3 linked regions of the Elephas maximus indicus genome follow. Each later gene encodes a partner of the first gene's protein in a complex. Links are inferred from orthologs where the notes say so. Each region holds a gene or a part of one and is shown on either strand. Other genes may lie near its edges.

What was found.
Region 2: DDX46 (region 1) and SF3A3 share a complex: the UniProt entries of both Homo sapiens proteins name them as parts of the 17S U2 SnRNP complex. The link is inferred for Elephas maximus indicus from reciprocal best matches to the Homo sapiens genes DDX46 and SF3A3.
Region 3: DDX46 (region 1) and HTATSF1 share a complex: the UniProt entries of both Homo sapiens proteins name them as parts of the 17S U2 SnRNP complex. The link is inferred for Elephas maximus indicus from reciprocal best matches to the Homo sapiens genes DDX46 and HTATSF1.

What each region holds. Positions count from the first base shown.
Region 1 is NC_064820.1:147,205,451-147,213,102, forward strand, and holds the start of DDX46 (probable ATP-dependent RNA helicase DDX46), read left to right. Parts: upstream 1-4,646; 5' UTR 4,647-4,875; coding exon 4,876-4,892; intron 4,893-6,324; coding exon 6,325-6,513; intron 6,514-7,652. UniProt on the Homo sapiens protein: Component of the 17S U2 SnRNP complex of the spliceosome, a large ribonucleoprotein complex that removes introns from transcribed pre-mRNAs.
Region 2 is NC_064821.1:79,566,966-79,574,581, forward strand, and holds the start of SF3A3 (splicing factor 3A subunit 3), read right to left. Parts: upstream 3,055-7,616; 5' UTR 2,941-3,054; coding exon 2,845-2,940; intron 2,626-2,844; exon of another isoform or gene 2,582-2,625; coding exon 2,534-2,581; intron 1-2,533. UniProt on the Homo sapiens protein: Component of the 17S U2 SnRNP complex of the spliceosome, a large ribonucleoprotein complex that removes introns from transcribed pre-mRNAs.
Region 3 is NC_064846.1:19,395,179-19,403,105, forward strand, and holds the start of HTATSF1 (HIV Tat-specific factor 1), read right to left. Parts: upstream 3,001-7,927; 5' UTR 2,830-3,000; intron 2,742-2,829; exon of another isoform or gene 2,643-2,741; 5' UTR 2,634-2,642; coding exon 2,448-2,633; intron 1-2,447. UniProt on the Homo sapiens protein: Component of the 17S U2 SnRNP complex of the spliceosome, a large ribonucleoprotein complex that removes introns from transcribed pre-mRNAs.

The sequences.
Region 1 (7,652 bases):
TTGTCTAATTCTGTAATTTTACTGTTAATCTTTTGGATTTCTGAATGCTGTCTGTCTGTGGATTCTTGCAGCTTATTAATTTTTCCACTATGTTCTTGAATAATCTTTTTGATTTCTTCAACTGGTTTATCAGCGTGTTCCTTCGCTTTTTCTGTAAATTGCCTTATTTCATTTCTGAGGTCATCCCTGATTCTTGAAGCATTCTGTAAATTAGTTTTTTATATTCTGCATCTGGCAATTCCAGGATTGTATCTTCATTTGGGAAAGATTTTGATTCTTTAATTTGGGGAGTTGTAAAAAAAATTTTTTTTTTTTTTAGAAGCAATCATGGTCCGCTTCTTTATGTGGCTTGATATCGACTGCTGTCTCCGAGCCATCTCTAAGATATTGTAATGATTTATTTTATATTTGCTCACTGAGTCTTATCTTGTTTTGTTTTCTTTCAATATACGTAGATGGGCTACTAGATTGCGCTGTCTTGATTATTGTAGCCTTTGAATCACTTATGTCCTATTACCAGCTGGTTTGGGTTGTTAGCAGATATATAAGCCTAAGAGTCCATTCACTATTCTTGAGTAGAATCTGATTTTGGGTTACCAATTGTGTGGTGTAGACTATCACCTATTCACTTAAAGGAGTAGTGGTGATAGTCGTGTGCACCAGATCCTAGTAGCGGCAGGGGGTCACACTCCAGGGGGGGCAGGATGCTGACAGGCTTCCCCCAAGTGCCATTGAGGTAGGTGTGTCTCTATTCCTAAAGCACTTTGGTGGGTGTGCTCTGCAGCTGTACCTTAGGCACCCAATGCATATACCTCTACAGATTGGGAGGTGTCACTATCCTCAGACCCCTATGGCAGGAGGCTAGGTGGTTTGGGTGGAGCTTCAGCCCTCAGTTCCCCATTGTGGGTCAGTGAAGGCTCTGTTTAATAGGTAGAGATATCAGACCAGGGAAACTTGTCTTTCCAGTAATGGGATAAAACAATTACAGTCAGATCACTATCAGAATTGCCTTTGCATTATAATAGCCACCTTGTTGCCTGTGGGGATGAAAGCCCTAGATCGTGGATCTCATATGCTTGGCTGGAGCTGGTTCTGTGTTTTTATTCCAATTTCAGGAAGTCAGGGAAGGATTTTTGGTCCCTGTTTTTTTTGTAGCTGCTTCTCTCAGGCCAGGAGAATAGGTTAGGAAAAGACAACAAAACAAAAAATTGCAGAGCACTTCACTCTCTGGCCCAGGAAATTCCAATGTTAATGAAGTGGCCTGGGAAGAAGATGGGAGGGATCAGATAGATAGGAGAGAGTAGCACCCAGGAATATAGACCAAGTTACTTATCTTACTTAGTGATGACTGTTTTATCTGAGATTCCGGAGGGGTGTATAGCCTGTGTGTGTTGGCTGGCTGGGTCGAGATTGTCCCAGAGGGTCAGGCCGGTGTCCTGTGCTTGTGCTGTCTCAGAAGCCGTGGTCAGTTCCTCTGCTTCCAGTGCAAAGCCCAGCGCCAAGTTTCCCCAGCTGGGACGACACACTCCAGGCTCCAAAACCAGTCGCTACCTCCCGGTGACTTCTCCTGTCAGCCACGTTGCTGCGCTGCCTGCGTGCACTGGCTGGGCTTCCCCCGAGGTCATTTCTGGGGGCTAGGGCTGCGTCCCGTGTTCGCACCGTCTCAGGATGCCGTGCTAAGCTCTGCTGCGCCCAGTACAAAGCCCAGCGCCAAGGTTTCCTGACTGGGATGCTGGCTCTTGGCTCCGAAAACAGTCTCTGCTTGCTGGTGGTTGCTGGTTCTCTCGTTAGCCGTTGTCAGTGTGCAGCCTGCTTGCGCTGGCTGAGTCTGTCACTCAGGTCAACTCTTTAGATCTGTGTTTGACAGTCAGGGCTTGTAGATTGTCATGTATGTGATCTATTCACTTGCTTTTCTGAGTCTTTGTTGCAAGAGGGATCCTAGGTAGCTTCTACCTAGTCAGCCATCTTGGCCCCGCCTCTTGAAATGTTTTTTGATGATGAATGCAATGCCATTCTTCTTCAAGTTGTCATTCCCAGCGTAGTAGACCATATGATTGTTTGGTTCAAAATGGCCAATACCAGTCCATTTCAGCTCACTAATGCCTAGGCTATTGATGTTAATGAGTTCCATTTCATTTTTGACAACTTCTAATTTTCCTAGATTCATACTTCATAATTCCACGTCCTCATTATTAATGGATGTTCGCAGCTGTTTCTTCTCATTTTGAGTCATGTCACTTCAGCAAATGAAGGTTCCAAAAGCTTGACTCCATCTACATCATTAAGATCAACTACTTTGAAGAGGCAGCTCTGTCCCTTTCACATTTTGAGTGCTTTCCAACCCGAGGGTCTCATCTTCCAGCACGATATGAGACAATGTTCTGCTCTTATTCAAAGGTTTTCACTGGCTAATTCTTTTGAATTTAGCTGGGTCCTTCTTCCTACTTTGTGTTAGTCTGAAAGCTCAGCTGAAACCTGTATGCCATAAGTGGCCCTGTTGGTGTTGAATACTGGTGGCATAGCTTCCAGCATCATGGTGACATGCAAGCCCCCACCATAGGACAAACTGACAGACATATGGGGGACAATCCACAGTAGCTATTGCCAAAAACTGGGAGTCATCTTTATTCCTCCTTTTCCCTCACAGTATACATTCAGTTTATTACGTAGTGTTTTGAGAGCTGCCTCCAGAATATATCCAAAATCTGACCACTTTTCTCTGTCTTTATAGTTTAAGTCAATAGTGGTTTCCTTTTGCTCTTAGACTGAATCCACACTCCTTACCTTCAGTCCACATCCAAGCAATTGTAAACTGTTTCAACTTACAATGTCTCTGATAACCTGACACTCCTTAGTTTCCATCTTGTCACACAATAGTGCAGGCCTTCCTCATCCTTGTCACGGACTGCCAGACCTTCCAGATTCTTCTCACTGTTGCCGGAGATAAGCACTATGCCACGAAGGAAGAGCAGAAACTCATTTTGGAATCTTACCTGTTGGTGTCTTGTTATTTTTAATCACCTTTATTGAGGTAAAATTTACATACTACAAGGTGCACCAATTTCAAGTGAATGAATTTTTACAAGGGAACATATCGATACAACTGATGCCAGAATTATGATACAGAATGTTTCTGTCATTCTTAGGTGTAAGAAAGTATAATAGCCCAGACTCATAAAGCAAGGGACTCTTCCTTAGGGACTCTATGACAGTTTTCTACAGAAACAACTGTTAGTAACAGGTCAGTTTCCTCTAGGCCAGTCATCTTCTACCTTGACTGTACTTTATAATCAACTGTGAAGCTTAAACATTCCCAACGCACAAGAAGCAACTTGGACCAATTACATCAAAATATTGGGATGGATCCCCGGCATCCACACTTTTAAAAAATCTTCTTAGTGCAGCAAATGTTGAGAACCTTTATCATCTTTTGCTAATGTACTTTTCAGCATCTTCTCCTTCAGATCTCACCTCATAGAACACTTCTAAGACATAGGTCCCCAGGTTTCGGAAAATTCCACCACCTGAAGCAGCTTGCTGGCATGCCCATAACCTTACATTAAAATCCTGGTTCCCCTCTTCTTAACAGCTACCCCAAACTAGAAGAGATTGGTGGAAACTGGTTTAGGAGCCATGTTGACATTCAGGATAATCTTTTAGACCCCATACATACTAACTCCTCTGGATGGAGTTTAACCGCCATTTTCTGACGATGCCATGGATGAAGTTATATGCAAACCCCATTGTGCTAGCATAGTATGATTAAAAATGTTGTTGATAGAACTTGTATGAGCTTCCTACTTGTAACCCCCTGAAAAATAACCCTCCCCTCGCCCTCGCTGAGCAGTCTCCGTGGCAGCAACCTGACTCTTCCTTTCCTTGAGCAACCAAATAAAGGCTCCTTTCTACTCTTTCACTTTGGCCTCTCTTTATTGGCTGAGGTGAGTGGTGACAAGCAGAACCTGGGGCTTCTACCGTGCACAATTTCCACAGAGAATTCTTTCCCTGAATCTCTCTTCTATATTAGGTCTTTCCTTGCTGTTACTACCTTTGCTTGTGTTTTTAGTAATGTCTGTTGCCCCACTAGACCATAAGCTCTCCATGTCTGGCACATAATAATACATGTAAATAAATGAATGCATGTGTAAATGGGAAACCCTGGTGGCGTAGTGGTTATGTACTACAGCTGCTAACCAAGAGGTCGGCAGTTGGAATCCGCCAGGCGCTCCTTGGAAACTATGTGGGACAGTTCTACCCTGTCCTATAGGGTTGCTATGAGTCGGAATCGACTCGACGGCAGTGGGTTTGGTTTTTTGGTTTATGTATAAATGAATGATTGTAACATTGTTTTAAAAAAAACCCAGGGCCGTCGAGTCGATTCTGACTCATAGCGACCCTATAACATTGTTTAGCGTGCAGTAAAAACGGGACGATGCAGGACCCGGCAGTGTTCTGTTCTGTTGTAAATAGGGTCGCTATGGGACCTGGGTGTCAGGGACTATGTAGGGAAAACCCAACCCAGCCATTTCTTTTCGGCGCAGCCGGTGCTGTCCCGCCTCCAAGCGAGAGGCGGCGCTGTGGAGATGCAGCAGTTTCCGGCCGGCTTTTCCTTTCCTTCTGCCGCCGGCGCCGGAACTTCCTGCTTTCGTTGGCCGCTCTGGGATGGCCGCCCCCACAGTAGCTGTTGCTATCTCTTAGTGGTGCCGGAACTTCCTGCTTTCGTTGGCCGCGCTGGGATGGCCGCCACCACAGTAGCTGTTGCTAGCTCTTAGTGGTGGCCCTTGCCCGGCTCGCCGACGGCAGTGCAGCTAGCCCTTTTGTTCTCTTCTCCATCGCGCTGTCCCGAAGGGCGTCGGCTTTCCCGCAGCGAGCAGTATGGGCCGGGAGTCACGGTGAGGCAACGCGCCCAGCGGGGGTGCGGGCGAGTGGCTTCTTCGGTGGAGGGAAGAGGCGGGAGTTGAGGTGGCCAAGGGGCCAGGTCTGGTCCAGCGCGGCCCCACGTGCGGCCGGCGCGGTCCCGCGGCTGCTGGTGGGGCTCGGGGCCCTCGGCTGAGGGAATGGCTGTACTTGATCTGGCTACGGGCACAGGAGTCTCCTGCATTATCGTCAGCCGATTCGAGCCCCTGGAACGGGAACAGCCCTCCCGGGTCGACTATGATTGAGCGCCACTTTCACGCAACCAACCTTGATCATTTCAGTCAGTAGTGATCCCTACTGCTTAGGGTTTGCAACATTTCCTAAGCGCCCTTCAGTCTGTATATTCGTTCTCTGTGCGTGTGTGATATTTTCCAAGTCAGTTGCAAGGAGCATGTGCACATTTTTACATAACCTACAACACCGTATAAGACTAAGCTTTAATTGAGCCACAATAAGTACATGTTACATGGGCATTTATTCTGAAAATAGGTTTCATATTTCTCTGTTACCTGGTTTCAAACTTTTTGAAACCGAAGATTGAGAGATCTTGTTAGGACTGTGAGATCTCTTCAGAACTTTAGATTGTTCATAACTGGTTCAGCACCTTGAGATTTTTATCTTAAAGATGACTGTTTGCAATGTGTTTAGCAGTGATTGAAAGAGCTTTTATTTCTAGGGACCATGAGGAGTTTTTTTAAAAATGTTAACTGTACTTTATTGGGGTATAATTATCATTCAGGGAAATATACAAAGCTTAAGGGTAGAGCTTGATGAAATTTAGCAAATATATAAACCATGTAATCATCGCCTGGGTAAGAACAATGTCACTCTGGCCGCCTTGACTTTTTTGCTATTCCTTGAGCACACCAATTAAGCTTCCTCTTCAGGATCTTTGCGCTTACAGTGCCTTTTGCTTTGAAAGTTCTTCTGCCATATATCTGTATGGTTCCTCCTGTTACTTCCTTCAAAGCCTGCATAACAAATGTTACTTTATTATGGAGGCCTTCCGTAACCACCTGATTTAAAATTGCAAACCTCTCAAGTCACATTATCTTTCCTTTTCCTTTACTCCGATCTATTTTTCTTCATAGCAACACTTGACATATTGTACGTTTATTTCTTTACGTGTCTATTAACTCTTCCTCCACCAAATATAAGCAGCCTGTAGCCCAAAGGCAGAGGCTTGGTCTGTTTTCTTCACTTTCCTTGCTTCTCTTTCAACAGTTTTCCTCCTCTCAACATGTGATGTAGCAAAAAGGTTCATTCTTTACCCCCAATTTAAAAAAGGATTGTGAAAAGAATCTTTTCAGTTTTTAATATGTCTGCTGCTATTTTGGAGGGAAATGTAATAAAATAAAATAGACTCTGTGTGAGCTAAGCTTAATATTTGAAGTAATAATATTCTAGCCACTATCGGAAGCGATCAGCATCACGTGGACGCTCTGGAAGTCGATCTAGAAGTCGTTCTCCCTCTGACAAAAGAAGTAAACGTGGAGATGACAGACGGTCTAGAAGTAGAGATAGAGATAGAAGGAGAGAGAGATCTCGTAGCAGGGATAAAAGAAGATCTCGGTCAAGAGACAGGAAGCGTCTGAGGTAAGACATAAATCTCTAAAAAACTGATGATAAATTAAGCTTCTCCAAAAGTGTGTTTTGGGCTAGAATTTAGTAGCTCCTTTGTAGACCCTCTGCTTTAACCCCAGGTTATTTGATTAGACATAGAAGTAATTCAGCTAGACCAAAAATTCTCAGACAGTATTTTAAGTTCGGAAACATCAGGCTGTCTCCTCTCACCCAGAGAGAGCCCTTAAAGGCCCCTGAGAGAGGGGGAAAAAAAAAATAAGGAGAAGGTAAGGTAATATGACTAGAGGATTCAATTTTAATTATATCCCAGCAGAACTGGAAACTGTTCAGAGCAGCCACTAAACCAGGCAGGAGAAAGAAACAGAGGGCAGAGCCATTTCCAAACCCTGCTTGTTATCTTAAAACATTTTAAATAACTCTTAGATTTAAACCAAAGAATGCCTTAATTTTAATTGTCCTTTTACTTGTTGACATGCTCGCTGGCACCAGTTAAGCAGCCTTAAATTTTTCTAGAAGTGAACATCAGTTTAAGTAAAAGTACTCTACCCTACACCAAAGATAACTTTTCTAAAACAGTTTCTCATTAAATCAGAAGGGAAAAAAAGGCAAGTTTGTACAGGTGCTATGAACTAATGACAGAAAGAACCTTGACTTTATCTTTTTCAAACATTTGGAGAAGAGAGTGCAAAGGTAGTACATGGCACTTAGGGAAAATATTCACCCGTGAGAACGTGGTTAATGCTAACTAATTCAGTTTTATATTTGGTCCCAGGAACAGTGTCATACAGTTCAGTCAAGTACACATTAAGTGAAATTGATCATTTAAGATTTGATTTTTGACTTCCTTCTGTGAAGGTTGAATAATGAGATTTTAGGTAAAGAAGGATTTTGAGATGATATAGCGAAGTCATGGTATTTTATAGATGAGGAAGCCAGTACCCAGAGAGATAGCAGAGTCTGCCCTATGTCATGTCGCTAGTTAGTAGCAATGGGTTTTTAAATCTTCAGATCAAGTAGCCCTGGTGGTGGAATGGTTAAGTGCTTGGCTACTAACTGAAAGGTTGCAGTTTGAACCTACGAGCTGCTCCGCGGGAGGAAAGACCTGACAATTTGCTCCTGTAAAGATTATAGCGTAGGAAACCCTATGGGGC
Region 2 (7,616 bases), on another chromosome or scaffold:
AAGAGAGTAATTTTGTCCTAAAGTGAAAACTTTGGTTGTTCCAGAATGTGACAAAGGGAAGCATAGGACAAATCTGCTGCAAAAGACCTCTTTAAAGTGTTAAAAAGCAAAGATTTCACTTGAGGACTAAGGTGTGCCGACCCAAGTCATGGTACAGTGGCCCCTCCTTACCCAAGGTTTCACTTCCTACAGTTTCAGTTACCTGAGGCCAACCTCAGTCCAAAAGTGTTATATGAGTAGCATACTGAAATTTTGTGCCGTCCCACTCCGTCCTGCCCAGGGACCACATTCACATAACTTTTATTACACTATATTATTGTAATTATCCTATTTTATTATTGTTGCTAATCTCTTACTGTACCTGATTTATAAATTAAACTTCACCATAGTTATGTACGTATATATAGGACCAAAAATAGTATATATAGGGTTCCGTACTATCCCCAGTTTCAGGCATCCACAGGGGATCTTGGAATGTATTCCCTGCAGATAAGGGAGGATTACTATATTTTCAATCACGTCATATCATGCGAAAGCTGAACAACAGATAAGCAAGACTGAAGAACTGATGCCTTTGAATTACACCGTTGGCGAAGAACACTGAATTTACCATGGGCTGCCAAAAGAACAAACAAGTCTGTCCTGGAAGAAATACAGCCAGAACGTTCCTTAGAAGTGAGGATGGCGAGACTCATCTCATGTATTTTGGACGTGTAATCAGGAGGGATTAGTCCCTGGAGAAGGACATCATGCTTGATAATGTAGAGGGTCAGTGGAAGAAACGAAGACCCTCCATGAGTTGGACTAACACAGAAGCTGCAACAACCGGCTCAAGCATAGCAAAGATTGTGAGGATGGCCCAGGACTGGGCAGTGTTTCATTCTGTTGTACATAAGGTCCCTAAGAGTCGGAACTGTCTCAATGGCACCTAACAACAACAACAACGGGACAAACCCAGATGGAAATAAAAGTTAAAACTTGATGCGTTTTTCTATAAATCTGTTAAAGAAAAGGTTTTATTTAAGGAAATAAGGCTACGCCAATTACCAAAAGACTAGTAAAGACAAAAGAAAGAGTTGAGAGACTCTTCCCAACAGGGCGGAGATATTTAAAAACTGGATAAATAAGGCGGATATTGATTGGGTTAAAATAAAACAAACGCTGTCTTAGTAAGAACCATAAACAAGTCCTCTCTATTGTAAAGAAATTTTTAAGAAGTAAAAACATAAAAATCACAATAAAAATGCATCAAAATTGCTTGGAAAAATGGTTCCATCCCTGTGGTGGTCCAAAACCAGTTGACGAAATCTTAAAAGGGCTACAGTTAGATTGAAAAATATGGAAAATGGTGAAAAGTTTGGAAAAAAATTTAAACTATGTAAACAAATTTTATTTTAACAGTAATTGTTTTGTGGTATATAGGCTTGTAGATAATTTTCAAGATCTTTACATAACTTAAAACCTTTGGATTGATACCAAATTGGGTTAATTAGTACATAAAATTCATTGTCGTGGAATAGATTCTGACTCATAACAACCCTATAAAATAGAGTAGAACTGCCCCATAGGGTTTCCAAAACTGTAATCTTTGTGGAAGCAGAAGTGATTGCCATGTCAACAGGCCCACCTTTCTCTTAGCAGCCAAGTGCTTAACCCCTGCCCCACCATGGCTCCTTAAGTGGGATAATAAACTAAAAAAAAAAACAAAACCTGTTGCTGTTGACTCAATTCTGACTCAGAGCCACCTTATAGGATAGAGTGGAACTGCTCCATAGGGTTACCAAGGAGCAGCTGGTGGATGCCAATTGCAGCCAAGTGCTTAAACACTGTGCCACCAGGGCGAAGTGGAATAAGAAACACCATAAAAAGCCTCTCATCTGCTCAGGGCAGGTTTTGCTGCCAAATGAGGCCACATTATGTTTTGCCACCAAAAAACCTATCGATTTACAAACTGTTTTTGGATTTGGGGATGTAGATAAGGGACAGGACTGGTAGTAATGTTTATCTCCTGCAAATAAAAAAAATCTAATTAGGCCTTTAATCCTTTCTGAGCAGATTTCAAATACATGAAAAAGTAGTATAATGAATCTCCATTTACCCATCACCCAACTTTATTACCAACATTTTACTTTAGTTTTCTTTTTTTCAAATAAGAAAATCTAACTGGGCAAAAGCACTTTGGTAAACAAAAACATTTCAAAAGAGAGGTCTGGAAGGGAAACACTAACACAGCATTCTCGTTTTGCGGGGACACAACAGTACCTTCTGTGTCTGAGTCACTGAGTCCTCCTCACTATTTTTCGCACATCCAAGGGACACAGAAGGCATTACTTTCCGAGTAATGAAGAGGAAGCGCTCCCCACTCAGGAAAGTGAGGAGGAGCAGCTCAGGAGCCTCAGGTTCGGCTGCAGGCGGACAACCCTGGCCAGTCAGGTGAGCTCTGGCCAGGGCTCCCGGTGAGACCCCGTGCTCCGCCCGCCTCCCCGCTCCTCTCCTTTCCCGCCCCCCGACCAAAGGACAGCGGAGCACTCACATCTTCCATGGCCCGTGTGCGGTGGTCGGAATTGATCTGGTCCCGGAGCTGAAGACAGACAAACGGTGACACAGACGCCGTTAGTCCCAGGCCTGGGGGTGGAAAGGCCGCCCGAGGGCGGAGCTTACCTTCGCAGGTTCAGCGGCAGAAGCGAAGAGGCCGCCGGGGCGCTGGGCCTGAGGAGGAGGTTGCCGAGGCCGGAGCTCGGAGAGGGAGCCCCCGGGAGGGTGGGGGGCAGGAGGAGGGCGGGTCTGAGGCCAAAGAGCGCGCTCGGCGGCTAAACCCGGGGAAGGGGCCCAGACCCTACTCACCGTGGACTTCTTAGTGAGCATCTCTTTGGCCATGACGTCCATGAGCCGTTCCCTCTCCTCGTGGTATCGCCGCTGCTGCTCCAGAATTGTCTCCATTTTTCCCTTGGCCGCTGTACCTCACTTCAGATCAGCGACGCGGCCAGAAGCAGCTCCCGCCGCCTTGAGCGCCTGCGTCCCCACGCGGCACGTCCGGCTGCACTAGAGTTCCGTAAGTGCCGGAAGTGCCTTGGGGACTCGAGGAAAAGGGGCACCGCGAGGAGCGCCAGCCTGTGCTATCGCGATGGCAGCATTGCCCCCTGCTGGTCGGGGTGTGTGGCCCGCTACCGAGCGGTTTGCAGATTCCTCTGGTGGGCGAATGGAAATCCAAGAGCCTGAATTCAGCTGCTGGCTTCTTAGGGCTTCACGGAGCTTCGTGGGGCCGTCTGGGCCGCTGGGGATCCTGTCTGGATTCAGGAGCAGTTGAGGAGCACGCGATGGGAATTGGAGGATCAGAACTTGAGTCCCTAGCTTTCAGGGTGACCTCTGACAACATTTGCCTCTTTTCTGGACCTCAATGTCCTTTTCAGTAAAATGGGGATAATAACAGATTTTTTTTTGTAGAAACTTACAAATGGAAACAATTTAATTGCCTTTCAGCGGGGTGCCAACCAAACCAAAAACCAAACTCGTTGCCATGGAGTTGATTCCGGTTCTTTGTGACCCTATAGGACAGAGTAGAACTATCTCATGGTGTTTTCAAGCGTGACTTGTGGATTCGAACTGCTAATTTTTTGTTTAGCCCACGTGGCTCTTACCACTCTGCCACCAGGGTTCACAGCAGCAGACTTAAAAACAAACAAACAAAAAACCCCTTAGCTGTCCAGTTGATTTTGACTCATAGCTACCCTGTAGGAAAGAACAGAACTGCTCCATAGGGATTCCAAGGAGCGGCTGGTGGATTCCAAGTGCTAACCTTTTGTTTAGCAGCCAAGCTCTTAACTACTATGCCACCAGGGCTCCAGCAGACAAAAACAACCAAACCCATTGCGGTGGAGTTGATTCCGACTCATAGTGACCCTGTAGGACAGAGTAGAACTGCCCCATGGAGTTTCCAAGGAGCTCCTGGTGGATTCAAACTGCCAACCTTTGATTAGCAGCTGTAGCACTTAACCACTAGGGTTTCTGGGCTCCAGTTGAGGACTAGATTGATAAAGTGTAGTACATCCAATCATTGAAAAAAAAAGGGGGAAGAAATCTGTATATTCATTTCTAGGTAGAGAAATGAAGACCTACAGCTGTGTGCTTATATGGGCATCTGTTTATAATTCACAATTGACAGAAAAACTGGACACAACCTAAACTGGTGAGTGTATAAACCAAATTCGGCATATCCACGTAATGCTACAATATGGAGGAACCTTGAAAACATAATGCCAGTTAAAAAAAAAAAAAAAAAAAGCCAGTAAAAAAAACCTAGATACTAAAATGACATAGTGTATGATTCCATTTATATGAAATGTTCAGAAAGGCAAATCCATGGAGACAGAAAGTAGATGAGTGGTTGCCAGGGGTTGGAGGCAAGACTGGAAGTGACTGCAAATAGACACCAAGTATCTTTTTGGGGTGATGGAAAGGTTCTAAAATTGGATGGTGGTGATAGTTCCACAACTCTATTAATATACTAGAAATAATTGAATTATACATTTAAAATGAGTGAATGTTACGGTTTGTAAATTATACTTCAATGAAGCTGTCAAAAAATCAGTGTGAACTCATGTGAAAAGATGGCCAGGAAAAGTCAAAAAAGGTGGATGCTCAACAGTGTGTATAAAAGATATACAGAGATGATTTCTGTAAGAATATCCAAGTAACACTAAACAATGGTTGTTTTCCAGAAGATGGACTGGCACATGTGGTATGAGAGAAAAGTTTTTCTTTGTATATACCCAAAATACAGTGTGAAAAGTTTTGTTTAATGTATTCATGTACTATTTTTTTAATTTAAAAATAAATTTAAACTAAAAAAATATATATATGCATGTATATGCTTAACAAAAAAGGACTAGAAAGCTGTAATGCATCAAGGAGTTATTTTTTTACCTTTTGTTCTCTTTACTCTTTGGTAGTGTCTAATTTTTCTACAAGGAGCCCCAGCAGAGCAATGGTTAAGAGCTTGGTTGGTAACCAAAAGGTCAGTGGATTGAACCCCCTAGCGGCTTGTGGGAGAAAAGACCTGGTGATCTGCTCCCGTAAAGACTACAGCCTAGGAAACCCTATGGGGCAGTTCTACTCTGTCATATAGGGTTGCTAGGCACAGGGTAGGCACTGGACTGGTTTTTATGAGTTGGAATTGACTTCAGGGCACAGAACAATAACAATTTTTCTACAAGGAATACACGTTGCTTTTTGCAAAAAAAAAAAAAATTATCTTCTGGTTTTTAAAGTTTGAAAAATAAAATGGGGGTAATGACCCTTGTCTTGCCTACTCATGAGGGTGTTGTGAGGATCATATTTGCATCTGAAAATATAAGCAAGACCTCCAGTGTTTGAGAATGGGGGACCCCAGGCACAGCTGCCCTCTGGGGCTTTTCCTGGGCCCCTAGGAAAGAAGGGAGAAATCTCCATTCTGGAGTGGAGTAACTCAGGGTGTTTATTATTATTATTTTTTGTAAGGTTGGTGATCTGTCCTATTTCATCCAATAAGAGATACCATCAAATGTAAAACTTACCATTATTTTAAGCTCCAAAAAGAAAGGAAAACTGTCAAATTATGACCCAGTTTTATAATTGACACTGTCAATTATAAAATGCATCTCAGGATTCTGAGATCTTAAACCTGGAAAATGTCTTGAAATCAATGAAATGTGGTATCGTACCAGGGTATCTCTTCCTCTTAGGTGGGTGGAACATTTAAGCACCGCCATTCATTCCTTCCCTTTGCCTCAAACTTGATGCCTACCTCCTCCTAAACCCCTTTTCTATCCCCACTCCATCAAATCAGTCCTGTCTTTTCCACTCCTACTGCCACCTGCCACCTGCCTCATCCTCTCTCACCTGGACCACTGCACCACCCGCCTAACCAGCTTGCTCATCTTACTCCTCCAATCCATTATTCATGCCACAGCCCAAGTGATCTTTCCAAAACTGCGATCATCTCACGCCCCTGCTTGAACATTTCCATTAGCTGCTTTACCCGCAGGGTGAGGTCTGTTTAACTTGGCACTTGGCTTTCCGTGACCTGGGCTTTGCCTGCCATTTTAGTCTCCTGGCACTTTTTCCAGATTAAATTACTTGGTGCTTCCCCAAAGCACCATATGTTTTCAGGCCTCCAGGCCTTTGCACCACCTGTTTTCTACGCTTGGACTGCTCCTACTCGACAAATACTCACCGAACTTGTAGTAAGTGCCGGGAGCTGGGAATGGAAGGGGAAACAAGGGAAGCCCCAGCCCAATTCTGACGGTCAAGGAGAGAAACAAAAACGTAAACATGCAATTATTAATCATGGTAAGCGCACTGGGCACTGGGAATGGTGTGTTGAAAATGCCAACCCTTTCCTCAGATAGTTTAGGACTGGGCCCGGGAGGCAGTGTAATGCAGATTAGAATCCAGGATTAGTGACTACCTACAAGACTTTGGGCAACCGCCTGAGTCTCGGTCTTCTCCTCTGTAAAATGGAAGTAATGCCCCACAGGTTTCTGGGAAGGTTTAACGTGAGCTACATCTGATCGCGCGGTTTCCGCCGGACTAGGAGTGAGCCCCACCCCACAGATCGCCCACGGTCCGCCCGCACCCTCACACCGAGGGGCGGCTGCCGGCGGTCCTCTGTGTGCGCATCAGCCCGCGCGTGCCGCGTGCGCGCGCAAAGCTGCCTCCACCAGTCAGATGGCGGCGGCCCAGACCGCAGGCCGCCGAGGGGGCTGGGGGCCCCGGCGTGGGACGCTGGGTGAGGGGTGCAGCGCTCCGCCCCATCTCCCCACTTCGGGGGTTAGCCCTCCACGCTCATTCACGCCCCCGCCCGTGAATCACGGGGGAGGGGGCGGGGCCATGACCCATTCATGCCGGGAATTGGATCCAGATGTTCCCGCGGCGCGTGCAGCTGCATCCTTGCCTTTTTTGGCAAAAAACGTGCGGCCGCGAGAGCGGATCCCGGGCCGCCCCCGCTAATCCCTGGGAAGAGGGGGAAAGCGGGCTGAGGGTCTGGGCTCAGACTGGGGATCCGGACGAGGTGCTCTGCAGGATTTGAGAAGGGCTGTGAGGGGTGGGGGCGATCTGTACCAGAGGTAACCCCACTTCTACTCCCGCCCCCCCCACCCTGACCCTCCTTTCCCCACAAGGAGGAGAAAGCCCTGTGCCAGCAGGAGGGAGGCCCGCTAAGCTTGAGAGGGATGGTAGCTGTGGCTGGGAACCCTTCTTTCGGGATTCCTTCTTCGGGAGGGACTTCCCACCCTGAGTCCAGGCCACCTCCCTCTCAGCCCCGCACAGAAGAGGTCTAGGAAGAGCTTCAGCATCTCCTGGTCCGCAAAGGAAGCTTCCTTCCCTCCCCTTCCCCCAGACAAACACATGAGGCCGGAGCTTTCTCACACTGCTTTATTACAGAATCTGGAGGGGGGAGCCCCATGGCCACCCCTCTGCCCATCTCTCCGTAAAATGGAGCTGAAATGAAATGAGAAGACACTCGGTGGACACAGAGCTCCTGCACGCTAGGACCCCCACCCCCAACCAGCAACCCCTGCCCTGCTGCTTAGACAGCCCCAGCCCTAGTGATGGGATTGGAATGGGGCCAGAAGAGGAAT
Region 3 (7,927 bases), on another chromosome or scaffold:
TCAGTCGCACGAATTAACATAGAAGGCTTTCTGTGGGTAACACTTGTACTAACTAAAGCGTAAATGCGAGATTCCAAAAAACCAAACCCGTTGCAATGAAGTCGATTCCAATTCATGGCAACCATATAGGACAGAGTAGAACTACCCCATAGGGCTTCCAAGGCTATAATCTTTAAGGAAGCAGACTGCCACAGCCTTCTCCTCCCCTACAGTGGCTGGTGGGTGCGAACAGCCGACCTTTCAGGTAGCAGCTGAGCGCTTAACCACTGTGCCACCAGGGATCCTTAATGCAAGATTAGTTACCTTAAATAGTACACTGTGCCTGAAATGATAAAGAATAAAGAAACACGGGTACTTGGATTATTAACACAAAAGTCTGAGATACTATTAAGGCATTGTAAATTGATGTTGACACCTTTTTTAGTTGTTGCATTTATAAATTACTTCTTCTCCACATTCTACTTGAATAAGACCACAGGTACATGTAATGAAGGAGCAGTTAACAGTAAAGCAGATCAAAAACCAACAGTCAACCTGAAATGCTGTAGACAAACATACAAATAACCTAAGACACAGAATCAAATTTTCTTTTACTATATAGACACAAGAGCGTATAAACCAAAAAACCAAACCTAGTGCCATCGAGTCGATTCCGACTCATAGTGGCCCTATAGGACGGAATAGAACTGCCCACTAGAGTTTCCAAGGAGCGCCTGGCAGATTCGAACTGCCAGCCCTTTGGTTAGCAGCCACAGCACTTACCCACTACCCGACCAGGGTTTCTGTCACACAAGTGTATAGGTACACTAACTACTTAAGTATCTGCATGCAGAGAGCATGCAGTAATGGAATCCTGATTTAGCGTACACAGAATGGTAAAACTCAATATTCATTTTAACTCTATCACTAATTGAATCACAAGATCGTTTAGTGTCAAACAAACCCAACTCACATCGATCTACCTGACTTTTAGGGAAAAGCATTACTGCCCGAAGAAAAAAATGTTGTTATATCTTCTTGCCAATCGATTATTAGGCATACATAGCAATTAGGAAACAAAAAAAGTTTGAAGAACTATGGGCGTCCACAGCATAAAAAACAGAGTCACAAATTAATCCATTACCAGACTACCGTTAAAAGTACTCCGAAGGCGGAAGAAACCAAATTTGTACCCCAGCTGGCACTGCCACTAGAGGAGCGAAATAGTAAATCTTAACAATTTGGTAGGATTAGAATATACAGACAAATATGAAACAAGAAAGAAAAAAGTTGGAATGAAGAACATTTTCAATAACAGTCAAGTTACACCACGGAGATACTTTTTTTTATCATTGGCTTCCAAGTCAATTAGTGTGCTATCATATCCTTTTCTTCCCATCCATATGACGCTTAGATTAACAGGGTACTTTTACCACCATGCTTACTGAACCAAGTTTAACACTAGTTATTTTACTTCCGAGCTGACAGAAAATACCTAATATGTTCCAAGTACTTCAAACAAACATACGCAGAACTCTTCCATCCACATTTTGTGCTTTTATGGCTCTACCATACATGCCGAGGTACAAAATTTAGTAGGGAAGAAGAGAGTGGCGCAAAGTTCATTCAGTGAAGATATATAAATGGCTACTTAAAAAAAAACTGATCAAGAAGATGCATTTTGCACATCGTCCATAAACTAAAACTCTGAATTCCCAGGATAAGTGAGGTTGGCTACCGGAGACCAACAGCTACTAAATTTGTTCTTGGTGGTTTTCCTTTTTGCAATAAAAAGCAGTCACTAATGTAATAACCAACTATGACCTTCACAGAGAAAACTAACAAGGCACAGAAAAGACTTAAGGATTACATTTGTGACATCTCCCTAAAGATTTATGCTCCTTTACACATCTATTCATCTATAGGGTCGCTTTGAGATGAACCGGTGTGTAAAGAAACGTAAATCTTTAGGGAGATGTCACAAATGTAATCCTTAAGTCTCTTCTGTGCCTTACTAGTTTTACATATGAAGGTCACAGTTGGTTATTACATTAGTGACTGCTTTTTATTGCAAAAAGGAAAACCACCAAGAACAAATTTAGTAGCTGCTGATCTCAGGTAGCCAACCTCACTTATCCAGGGAATTCAGAGTTTTAGTTTATGGACGATGTGCAAAATACATCTTCTTGATTAATGAAAAAAAAAAAAAGTAGTCCTTTACATATCTCTACTGAATGAACTTTGCGCCACTCTTTCCTTTCCTACTAAATTTTGTACCTAGGCATAGCGTCGCTAAGTCGGAATCTACTAGACGGCAACCGGTTTTACACATCGGTTCTACAACAGACACAACAAAAAGCAATGTCTCTATCCATGGGACTCTAACTCAGGATCTCAGCAGAGAAAATGTAAAAGGAGTGTCCCGCAAGGTTGGCCCGCTCTGCAGTGGCACCCATGTCACTCTTTACCTTCGGGAACCAAGCTTTCTTGTCTAGATCCCACTCGTAGGGGGTGTCAGTCGGCTGTTGCCCCAAAGAATCGGCTTCTCCGCCGGGATCTTCCTGGGGGTCGCCGTCCTTCGGGTCTCCGTACAATTCTTGCATCCGCAACTGCTCATCAAACTCGTCGTTCCCACTCAAGTTGTTGCCGCTCATGTTTCCGACCTAGCCGCGGGGTAGGGTCCCCGTGAGCAAAGAGGCCGCGATGTGCTGGAGGGACACAGAGACGGCGAGGTCCGCGCGGCCGCCGCGCCCCCGGCCCGCCTCCCGCGGCGCCCCAGCAGCCCCCGGGACGCGGAGCCGCCCGCCGCCCGCCGCGCGCGTGCCGCCGCCGTCCGCCGCCGCCGCCCACCTGACTCGCTCTGCCGGCCTCCGTCCAGGGCGCCGCGGGAGCGCACGCGCGCCGCCGCCGCCGCCGCCGCCGCCGCCGCCAAGCGGTTCTGAAGCGACTGCGGCTCCCGCGGCAACGTCAGGAAATGACTTCCAAACGGAACCCCGCTCAAGCTGACGCAGCCGCCATAGTCGGCACGTCGCGACGTCGCGGGTCGCGCCGGCACGCCCCCAATGGCGTCAGCATGCGCCTGCGCGCCGGCGGTGGCACTTGGCCGGGGCGGGGTGTCGGGGGGCGCGTGCTCCCGTGCTTGGACGCTCCGTGGGCCCCCTGCGGGCCGGGGCGAGGGGCGACAGCACCCTGCCGTTCCACCGCTCTTAGGGGACCTCGGGCTGGGAGGGCGGTCCCCCGAAGGCGTGGGAATCGTCCTTCTCGGCGAGCGACATCGTGGGGAATGGGTGGGACCGCCGGACAGGTTTCCCTAGCCCAGGGAAAGAGACGCGGCTCCTGCAACCGAAGGCTTCTCCCGCACACGAACTGTGTCTTTTGGTTATTTGTTTCTGGTGTCGTTAGTATAGAAGCTTAAAAAAATAGCTCTTGTTTATTTCGGTAGTCTACACGCCTAGCACTGGGGTTGGTACTTAGGGCGTTGAACAAGTGAGTGAGTGCATGAATGAACGAGTGATGGGTAGAAGGACCAGCCTTCTTTTCCAGGTCTTCCCCCCCGCCCCCCAGCCCTCGTTCGCTTTCCTTCCTTGGGCTGGAGATCGACTCTGGGGAGTGAGGCGGGGCGGCAGTTGCCTGCCTTATGTACTCCAGGGTTCCCCCCCACAAAAAAAAAACCCACTGCCGTGGAGTCGATTCCGACTCAGCGACTCCAGGGTTCAGGGATGTTCAAATCCCAAACCTGAAACTTAAAGGAACTTCCGAGTGTAAACATCGGCTTTACTAGCCAAGCGACTGAATCCGTTCTTTTGGGTTTCTTCTAGAAAGACACAACATGCTTTTCCTCTAAACAGAACTTTATTCAGAAATTAGATACACTGTTGAAAATCAGGAGCCCTGGTGGCGCAGTAGTTAAGAGCTCGGCTGCTAACCAAAAGGTTGGCCGTTCAAATCCACCAGCCACTCCTTGGAAACCATGGGGCAGTTTCACTCTGTCCTATAAGGTCGCGATGAGTCGGAAACGACTTGTCAGCAATGGGTTTGATTTTTTGGGGGGGGGGGGGTTGAAAAGAGCCATTTTCAGAATTCTCTTTTTTAATTGGACAAATAGCTGTTGAGCGCCTACTAGGTGTCAGGCATTGTGCTAGGCTCTGGCGACCCAGCAGTTAACAAGACAGACACAACTAAGAGGAGACAGACTCAAGATGGTATGATATTAATATTGAATGCTAGAGAACAGTGGTTCTCAAACTTTTTGGTCCCAGGACCCCTTTACCCAAAAATTAACAAAGGCCCCAAATAACTTGTTTATATGAATTTTTTTATTGATGTTTGCTGTATTAAAATTAAAACCCATTTTAGAAAGACTTATTAACTCATTTAAAAATAATAATAAGCTCATGTGTACACATAAATATAACTCAGACTTGATGTTCCCAGTGACCTTGGCTTCTAAACATAGCAGTTGAGTCTGGGTTCTACAGAATCCTGGCTCCCCACATAGATTTACAATCTAGTTTCCACCATAGCAACAGTTTTTAAATAGAAGTTTGTCTTTTTTTTAAGTTGCATATCTTTTTCATGAAGCTCTCGTTCTTGGGAGGGGAGGACTATTTGGAGAACCGAAGTTGCATGCGTTTTTATAATATAGACAACACAGGTTTTATTAGATTCATTTTAAACATTGCTAAAGATTTCTTATCCAAAAATAGTATACAGCTGTTTCCAGCAATGTGTAACTGGGTTCCCATTTCATTCCTGAGTGAGTTCACAGCATAGGTGATGATATGCTACACAGTCCTACAGCACTACAGCCTTTAGGACTACAGTCCTGCAGACTCTGAGTCCCTGCTGTCCCCACAGTCCTCTTCTAAGCAGGTAGCCAAAAAAGTTCCTTATGCCTAGGTCCCATGTGACCCAGCTAGCCTGGCCCAAAGGCTGGCCAGAACATTGTGAAGTGACCTGGCAGGGTAGCTATGCATTCTGGACTGAGTTTGACTAACTGAGTCCATCAGAGCCTCTCCCAGGGAGTATGATTATGGAACAGACAGTGGGATGTGGTCAGAGCAGCAGAGAAGCAGGAAGACCCACACAGGGAAGGCAATAAGCAGAACAGATGAGTGCTGTGAAGACATTCCCCCGGAGTAAGAGGAGAAGCTAAAGCAGCATCAGAGGGTCAGAGTTACCATAATGGCGGAGCAAGGGATTTGGGAGCTAAGCACCCTTGCGCCTGCAATGACATTCTACCTGACCATGAGACCTGACAGTTGTTTTTTTTTTTTTTCAAGAGAGCCTATTTTATTTATTTTCCTCTTTTTTTAAATTGTACTTTAGATGAGGGTTTACAGAGCAAACTAATTTCTCATTAAACAATTAGTACACATATTGTTTTGTGACATTGGTTTCCGACCCCGTGACATGTCAACACTCTACTCTTCTCAACCTTGGGTTCCCCGTTACCAGCTTTCCTGTCACCTCCTGCCTTCTTGTCCTTGCCCCTGGGCTGGTGTGTCCATTTAGTCTCCTTTTGTTTTATGGGCTTGTCTAATCCTTGCCCAAAGGGTGAGCTTCAGGAGTGACTACTCAGCTAAAAAGGTATCCAGGTGCCATACTCTCAGGATTTCTCTAGTCTGTGTCAAACCAGAAGCATTGGTCTTTTTTGTGAGACCTCTCAGAGCAGTTGGTGGTGGTAGTTGGGCACCATCGAGTTGTGCTGGACTCTGACATTTATATTTCTAACAATGTTATTGTCTCTGGGAAGCTGGGTTCTTGTTCTTATTTTTCTGGGTATTTGTAGAATAAAAGCAGTTGCTGTTAACCCGATTCTGACTGATGGCAACCCCATGTGTTTCGTAGTACAACTGTGCTCCATAGGGTTTTCGATGGCTGATTTTTCAGGAGTAGATCGCCAGGCCTTTCTTCTGAGGTACCTTTTCGTGGGTTTGAACCTCCTACCTTTCAGTTATCAGCCAAGCATGTTAACTGTTTGCACTACCTGTGGACTCCATTTATAGAATAACTCCCTAGTAATTGAGATACTCTGGTAGCATCCAAAGGTCCCTGCGTGGCACAGACGGCTTGTACTCAATTGCTAACCTCAAGATTGGTGGTTAGGTTGAACCCACCCAGCAGCACCACAGAAGAAAGGACTGGTAATCTGTTTCCATAAAGATTACAACCAAGAAAACTCAATGGGGCAGTTCTACTCTGTAACACATGGGGTTGCCATGAGCCAGGATAGACTCAATGGCAACAGGTTTTTTTGCTTTGCTACCATCCCTGTCTTCTCAACCTTTTTCAAGATTTTTTGCAAGTCACAGGAGCACTCAAGGTAACAAGTTGTTTTTGGGTGTCATCAAGTCAATTACAACTCATAGCAATCCTGTAGGACAGAGTAGAATTGCCCCATAGGGTTTCCAAGGCTATCATCTTTTTTAAATTTTTTATTGTGCTTTAAGTGAAAGTTTACAAATCAAGTCAGTGTCTCATACAAAAATTTATGTACACCTGGCTATATACTCCTAGTTGCTCTCCCCCTAATGAGACAGCACACTCCTTCCCTCCATTCTATTTTCATGTCCATTCGGCCAGCATCTGACCCCCTCTGCCCTCTCATCTCCCCTCCAGACAGGAGCTGCCTACATAGTCTCATGTGTCTACTTGATCCGAAAAGCTCACTTCTCACTAGTATCATTTTCTACCCCATAGTCCAGTCCAGTCCCTGTGTGAAGAGTTGGCTTCAGGAATGGTTCCTGTCTTGGGCTAACAGAAGGTCTGGGGGCCATGACCACTGGGGTCCTTCCAGTCTCAGTCAGACCATTAAGTCTGGTCTTTTTACGAGAATTTGGGGTCTGCATCCCACTGCTCTCCCGCTCCCTCAGGGGTTCTCCGTTGTGTTCCCTGTCAGGGCAATCATCGGTTGTAGCCAGGCACCATCTAGTTCTTCTGGCCTGAGGCTGATGTAGTCTCTGATTTATGTGGCACTTTCTGTCTCTTGGGCTCGGAATTACCTTGTGTCTTTGGTGTTCTTCATTCTCCTTTGATCCAGGTGGGTTGAGACTAATAGATGCATCTTAGATGGCTGCTTGCTAACATTTAGGACCCCAAATACCACTCTCCAAAGTTGGATGCAGAATGTTTTCTTAATAGATTTTATTATGCCAATTGACTTAGATGTCCCCTGAAACCGTGGTCCCCAAACCCTCGCCCCTGGTACTCTGGCCTTCGAAGCATTCTGTTTATTCAGGGAACTTCTTTGCTTTTGGTTTAGTCCAGTTGTGTTGACCTCTCCTGTATTGTGTGTTTTCTTTTCCTTCACATAAAATAGTTTTTATCTACTATCTAATTACTGAAAACTCCTCTCCCTCCCTCCTTCCCCTCTCTCATAACCATCAAAGAATATTTTCTTCTCTGTTTAAACTATTTTTTGAGTTCTTATAATAGTGGTCTTGCAACTGACTAATTTCACTCAGCATAATGCCTTCCAGATACCTCCATGTTATGAAATGTTTCACGGATTCATCATTGTTCTTTATTGATGCGTAGTATTCCATTGTGTGAATATACCATAATTTATTTAACCATTCATCCATTGATGGACACCTTGGCTGCTTCCATCTTTTTGCTATTGCAAACAGTGCTGCGATGAACATGGGTGTGCATATATATCTGTTCGTGTAAAGGCTCTTATTTCTCTAGGATATATTCCAAGGAGTGGGATTGCTGGATTGTATGGTAGTTCTATTTCTAGCTTTTTTGGGGTTTTTGTTTTTATTACTATAGAGGGGGTAGCTGCTGAAACTCCAGCACTGGAGTGCAGATGGGCCTCATGAGGAGGTACTGTACCTAGGAGGAGGAGCCAGTTGGAACCCAGACATCCTGCTTCTCTCTGGATAGCTGCTTCATTCTTCTCTCTCTGATCTTGGTAAGGGATGATCCATGCCATATTCCTGGC